Linked DNA regions of Drosophila melanogaster. The protein of the gene in region 2 interacts with the protein of the main gene of each other region in a pairwise test. Each region holds a gene or a part of one and is shown on either strand. Other genes may lie near its edges. The genes, in order: CG15546 and Skadu.

Region 1 (3,927 bases), on a different chromosome or scaffold from region 2:
GCCCATGTATATTTTTCTGTGCCTATAGTAGGTTTTTAAGGCTTAATTGAATATTTCCCGATTCGAAATTTATTTGGTTATATATGTATTAGTTTATTAGCATATCTCTATCATTATAATTATAGATTTTTCTGCGTTGGCTTTAAAAGCTAAATTAATACATGATCGTGGTGCACAACAACAGCATCGCCGACAAATTAGTCAAGATCAAGGTTTGTTTATGTATGTATATTCAACCGCTCGAAAACAACAAAAAAGCCGACTCATTCATTCGCATGTGGGTGAATTCAGAGTTTGTATGGGATCGTAAAAGTAAAAACTAAAAAAAGGTTGAGCTGCTGCTGTCGCATCAACTTGCTGCTGATGTGGCTGTTGTGCTGCAGATGTTGTTGCTGCTTCTGTTGCAGTCGCTGTTGGCTTTCAATTAGCAATGCAGATTGTTGCTGTCGACTTACTACATAGAGAAATATTTGTAATACTATTTCATCCTAATGATTGTCAAGCAGATATTCTTGTATGATCTTCTTCATCGCTTCAGTTATATGTTTTTGCACTTGCATTTCTCACTGTGTAGCTGCACTAATCACTGAACACGCGAACTGGAGCCCTCAGTCCGGCAGACCCACGCTCACTCTCTGCCCCGCTGAGCTGCGACGCGCCTGCGCAGTGGGCGGCGACTGCGACGCCGTACCGCCCACCATCAAAGCGTCGCCGCTGAAGCAGAGGCTGCTGCGCAGGTGTTTGCGAGGGTCAGAGGGCACGGGGGGATCTTCGTCGATAGTGTGTGTGTTACCCACTCCGGATTGGGTCTGTGGCATTTTTGGAAAGATTTTCCTACCATTGCCGTTGGCCTGATAATTATTATTATTATTTAATGGCTTGCTCCGACTAGTTTCCATAAAAGAGCGTTGATGTTGCTGCTGCTGCTGCTGCTGGCGACTTCCTGTCGGCATATTTGGCTGCTGACGGTAGCGAGTTTCGTAGGTGGGCTCCTCACGATCCTCGCGATCCTCCCGATCATCGCGATCCACCCGATCATCGTAGTAGGCGTACTCGGCAGCCTCCTCGTTGTAGGTCACATGCTTTTTGGGCAGTCCGGGACTTCGGGTTAGTTGCAATCTTCGGACTCGACTTTCCAGATGGTCGTACGGGTCCTGATCCTGTGACGTTTGCTTCAGTATCCTTTTGGGCAGGGGCAGTGGGCGTGGCCGCCGCCACTCGGGACTGTCGTTCAGGGGTTTCTTGGTGACCTTGGGCTCCAGTTCCACGCTGAAACTGCGCACATTTCTTTTGACCTGCAGCTTGGGACTGTTCTTGGAATTCAGTTCCACTTCGCGCTTGTCATTCAAGTCCATTTGTGGTCTCCTGGCGTTATTTTGAGTTAGGTTATCTGCTTCGTTTACATAATCGTAGAACTGGATCTTGGAGCTGTAAGCCTGCTGGCGACGGCTGCTGGTGTCCTCAGCTTTGTTATCCGATTCCTGCGGTCTCACTTCGGTTAGTTTTGGGGTTATTTCTCTGCGTAGACCCCTTGCCAATGAAGGTTTATTTCCAGGATTAGACTGCAGATTATCATAGAACTGTATGGAAGAACTGGCAAACTCCTTGTGAAACATTCGCCGTGTGTCCACTTCGTCGGATACATTCTGATTGGAAGTAATCCTTTCCACAGGCCTCTCCAGCTGCTGGCTGTTTCTCCTCTTTGCTCGGGTTTCCACCGCGGAATCCGCTCGGGAATCGTCTGGCCAGAAGAAGTGCGACTCCTGGCGATTGCACACCTTCACCGCCTGGCGCTCCACCATTTTGGGCGGCAAGCCCGTGTAGAATTTTCCGTTCAGCATGGTCGCCCAATCTTCGCCGGATTGGTGGTCCACTCGACTGATCGGAGACTGGTCCGCAAACCGACTGACACAAAAAGAATCCGTCGGAGGCCGGAGAGCACATAAAATGGCTGAGATGTTGGCGTCGCCATCGGCGTTGTCATTTGTCGTAGGCGTTCAGTTTCGTTTGCTCAGGTGATCAACCAGGCCCCAGACTAATTTGCGATTCTTGCGAAAAATAACTCGAGAAGTGAGTAAAAACGAGAGTTTCTGTGTTTATAAACTTTTGGATACTCTACGAATTGGAAATATACAGCATTTAATTATATTTCCATATTCGATTTCTTCGAAAGCAAACAGTGCGCTGCATTCACTGCAGGCAGTTTGGAAAATGACACACTTGTTGGTTTTGGTTTTTAGCCTCTCGCAAGATTTTTGAAAATACATTATACCCTTTTGCAAATTCTTCGAGTGACTTATTAACAACAAACACAAACAGCATCGAGGCAAAAATTTATTTGCTGCCAGTGCAGCGTGGACGTTGGCAGCGAAGTCGACGGCGCAGCGGCAGAGACGAGTTTCCATCTAAGGTCAAACCAAATCGCGGCATTTTTCACTTTTGGAACGAAAAGTTGATTTTCGTGAGCTCAGCGTTGACCAAATGTTTTGGTTTTTACTTCGCTTTTGGCCTGTCCGTTCGGACTAAAAAGCCAGAATGCCGCCAAAGTTGGCCGACCAAGAATAATAAACGACAACAGATGCCAATTATTGGGTGCTTTAATGGCTTCAACTTCAACGTACTTTTGGCCGCAAGTGAGTGTCACTTGAATGATGCTCAGTATGGCCGACACTGCGTATACGTAACATTACATGGCTGAAAGTTGAGAGGAGCTCAATACTCTGACACAATGTCGTGAACAATGCACTTTGAAAAGGAAAAGCGAAACACCAGTAAAACATACCAGTGTTTATTTAATTAAATTAAATTTATTTTCTCTTGATCTTTACATGGTTTGCCATTGGAATGGAGTGGGGAGATGTGTGGGGAGCTTTGCTGATGGACACTACTACTGCTACTTATGTTTTGCTTCCATTAATTCATTTTATTTGGTTTACCTCCCAGGCTGCGTTTTAGTCGAAGACGTATTTGGAGTACGTAATAAGCTTAATGTACAAACAATGCCATAGAAACACATACAATATCATACACGTTCGGTTTGCATACGGGTCTATGTGGGGATACTACTCTGGAGGGTCTGAAATTGCGAAACGGCGAAGTGGCATATCTATATATCTCAGTGTGGTGGCTGCTCATGTAGATGGGTACCATATACGTTCTGCGGGGGGATATGTTAGGTTGCTTAGACTACGTTTGATTTTGAGTTGACATCGCTGACACGGGGATCTATGCTTTATAACCTGACATTTACAAACTTTGTTTTTTTCTTTGTTTTTAGTTTTTAGTTTTGCTGGGTAGTGTTGTTAAACATATACTTAGGGTTGCTCTCGGCTGCTTAAGACTTTATTTACAATTCGTATTTATAGCTGATTGGCCAGTCAGTTAGCCTTTCTCTTCGATGGTGCTTACTGCTGCTGCTGTTGCTGTTGCGGCTGCTGCTGCTGCTGCTGGGGGGGCAGCAGTTGCATCGGCGACATTACTATTATGTTGGTGGCTCCTCCGGCTGCGTGGCCATAGTCCAGCGGCTTCTGCATCGCCTCCACATCCAGATCCGGGGCACGGGTAATCACGCAGTACTGGTTCCCATTGTACGTGACAATGGGCATGCCGTGCTGCATGTTGCTGGCGTGCTCGCTCAGCTGGGCCTGCATATACGTGGCGGCCGTCGGCGAATTGGCAATGATGTGCGACACCGGCACCGACACCTGGATTTGCAGGGAAAAGGGGTAAACGGAAGGGTAACAGAATACAGAATGCGGAAATGGTGAGTTTTTTTTTTTGGTGTTCAATGTTGCTGTTGGCTGTTGGTGTTGCTGTGGTTTCAGTTCATTTGGTCTGTTTAATAGGTAGTTACTTCTTGGCTTTGGTTGTTGCCGTTGTGGTTGCTACTACTATTGTTATTGTACATAGGCGCACTGGTCTGTTGCT
Region 2 (3,523 bases):
GGGCGGCGAAAGGCAAAGCTATGTTTTGCCATCTTAGGTGAAAGGGTTGCAGTGAAAGTGGCGGGTAAAAGGGGTTAGTACGTGCAATGAACGGAATCCGACACACATAAGTTAAACAAATATACTGCGCACCCGCACACACATAAAAATGCAGATGCAGATGCACAGTTGGTCGTCGTAAAGTCTCCATGAGGGGGAAGTGCACCTGCTGCCAAAGACTCCGAACTCATAGCAGAGATGCTGAATCAAATTCTCATATTAAATAATCGAATTCCTCGCATGCACATCATTTTAAATTCACATTCGCACTTTCCTTCAGATCCGCATCTACTGCACATGCATTTCACATTCGCTTCCTCGCTTTTAGAATCGGTTTGCCTTTCTCTTCGAAAATTTCATCCAGCTTTTTGTATCTTGCATCTTTAAGCAATTTTTCTCGCCAACTCGTTTTGCCCGAGATTTTGCGCTTGACATATAATTTTTATAAGGATATTCAGGGGAGTGGACTAATGGGGGCTTAAGGAGAAAAAAAAGGTACAAAAAATAATTATAAATTGCAATTTTCAAAAGAATGTGATAAGTTAAATGATCTTTTTGAATATGAAAATAAAATATATTTCTCAAATTCAAAATTCAAGTTTTACGTTATAAATTAATGAAAGCATAAACAAACCAACAACCCCCATTAAAAAAGAGATCTCTACACCCCTGTTTAAACATTTTCTGTATCCTTTATTTGCGGATGGCAAAAACTTCTGGCACGCACGTCCGCCCCAACTTTTGATGGCTGAGGTGCGAAATTTTGCGAGCTGTACGAGCCAAATAGGCATAAAATTATTTAAAACTCGACGCGAGACTGCAGAAAAGGATGCGTCATAAATGTGAGGCAGTTTCGCACTTCTCATACTTCATTGTGTTTAATTTCTCTCTTCAATTTTAAGGAGATTCATCATACTTCTGTTGTTCCATTTTCTGCCAGGCCTGGACGTATTCCTTGTAGAAATCAGAAAGCAGGTGTGGAACATGCTGTAAGGCCAGTTCCAAAGGAACCAACTCGGGTTCAATGAGATTCGTAAACTTTATGTAGAGGAATTGCTCCTTGTGGATGTTTTGTACCATGTCCAATATCGATTCCACTTGGTAGCCTCGCTCAAAAGCATCGATTGCGGGAACCGGTGGAAGATTGGCTAAATCCGAAGAGAACTTCTTGACGGGTTTCTTTACTGTTTGAACTAGAGTGCTGCGAGGTGATATTGTTGACAAGTTGCATGTCCGTTTATCGGAATGTCTCTAAAAAGTTTATGATTAGTTTTGGCGGATGAATTTTCCTGGAATATTCACTCACATTGTCCTGGAGAAAGGGAACTCTGCGCTTTCGTACGGCTGATTCCATTTGGTCTTATTAAATATATATATTTTCGTGTTGAATTGTTTTTTTTTGTATACACTGAAGTTAAACTCTTTTTACTCCTTCCGAGTGGCACTTCATAGCCGGCTCTTCTCTACAAATTCATATGACTTTCGCTTCTGTTGCCTGTTCTACAAATGAACTTCCTGCGGCCAAAACAACTTCACGGCACTTTGAGCCGGCCCATGGCAACCGGGTAGATGGAGATGGACGGCAGGGGGAAATGCAGTTAAATGAGCGGAAATACGAAATTAACTCGCCACGAAAGCACAGAGCAAACAAAGAAATTGTTGTACAACTAAAAAAAAATATCCCCACACACTCGCAGAGTGAAGAAAAATGAAGAGGAAATAGAGAATGAGAAAATCAAGTGCCGTAGCACAAAAAAAGGGGGTAAAAAACGCAATTGAAAGCAAGCAAAGGGACAGAACAGAAAAAATGTATAATAGCAAAATAAACGTTGCCACTTGGCCAAATTTAATGCAAATATTTGGCCAGCCGCAAACGGAAATGCTGTCTCTCCCGCTGCCGACGAAAAGCCTTCCATGCCTTTCCCTAATGCGATGCGGCTTGGTAAATCGCGGTAAATTAAGAAATTAAAGTATTTGAAATACTGCCCAAAAACAAATTTCCATGCGCGTTGCAAAAAGTACATTTCCGGGTTTCCCCGCCACCTATTTTAGATTATTCTCCACATAGAATTCCGCTGAGCTTGATAAATAGAAGCGAAGCATTCGAGAACCGTGCATGATTTATGTAGATATACATACGCTCTGTTCTATGCCGTTCGCTTGTATATTTCCTTGCTGTGACAACGACGCACTTTTCGGGACTTACGAAATTGTATTTAATTGTTAGGGTTGCCCAAAAGGACAGGGAAGTCCTTTGGTCGGCATATAAAATTAAACAAACATTCTGCCTCGCCATGGAAATGACAATAAAAATAGCATCAAATTTATGGCATACCGAAATAGAGAGGTGGAGGACACGAAAATGGTAAAGGAGGCGAAGGACCTCGTTGAGGGCATTTTATTCTCTTGCATCGTCCTTTTATTTCAACTCCATTTTGTCTGTCATTCACTGAAAACATAACTTCTTATGTTTTCCTTGACAAAATAAATATTAACATATTCAAACAAAATAACAAAACATAAGAAAAAAAGCTACACAACATGAAATTTTTTTTGGTATTGCTATTATAATTGGTTTGAAAAAATATATACATAATTATTGACACTTTAAAATCATATTTTTATTGTTTTATAAAGCTAAGCTTTAAAAAAACCAAACAAAGTAAGAAATATTTTAGAAATATTATTTCTCAATTAAATTTGATGTACTACATATAAGTTCAAATTTATTTTCGGAGACACACAATTTTGCCTGAGTGTCTTTTGGCAAGCGGCGTCTACTGCTTGGCACTGACTTTGCCTTTTTCAGCCGCACTGACTTTGCACAATTAATGGCCACCTTCTGCTGTACCGCTGCCACTCCACCTTTCCCCTCGCCATCCACGCCACTAACCAGGCATTCCCAATTCCGCGCAATTATTGCGGCCATTGTGTGAGAACCTTTTGCCAAGTGTCTTGTGTGTCATCGTCACCGCTAAATTTAACATAATCCTCGGATGCTTCAGACCGAATGCTGCCCACTCCGGCGGCTCCTGTTGGGCGCCAGGAAAATTGTTGGCAGCTGACGCGACTTGGCCAGGATGTTACTCGAGGTCCTTTGTGTTAGCCCTTTTCCGCTGCTGGTGCTCATTCGCCTGCCGCTTTTCTTCCTGCGCATAATTAATTTCACGTTCTTGCCAAAAATTATGCGACAGGATTTGTTTGCCCACGCTCATTTCCCCTCACCGAAAATTCCTTCACTCTGATTTCATCCTACTTTAGTCTTGTTGTATTTGTTTTGCATTTTGGCAGCATTTCGTCAGGCGCCGGACGAACTTAAATCCTTCGGCGGACCGTCAAGTTGGCCAATTGTGCTGCAAAGTCAGCTTAAAATAAAAAGTGTTCTGGAATAGTCAGTGTAAACGGCTAAGCCATTTTAAATGCTGAAAATTCCATTGTCATGTCGAAGAAGTTGAGAGCTGCAAAGTGAATTTCTTATACTAAT

The links.
Region 1: the proteins of Skadu (region 2) and CG15546 interact in a two-hybrid assay, tested with the Drosophila melanogaster proteins (one large-scale study listed by BioGRID).

What each region holds. Positions count from the first base shown.
Region 1 is NT_033777.3:30,874,294-30,878,220, forward strand, and holds CG15546 (uncharacterized protein), read right to left. Parts: upstream 1,894-3,927; 5' UTR 1,842-1,893; coding exon 609-1,841; 3' UTR 72-608; downstream 1-71.
Region 2 is NT_033779.5:15,545,435-15,548,957, reverse strand, and holds Skadu (skadu), read right to left. Parts: upstream 1,440-3,523; 5' UTR 1,394-1,439; coding exon 1,346-1,393; intron 1,291-1,345; coding exon 937-1,290; 3' UTR 715-936; downstream 1-714.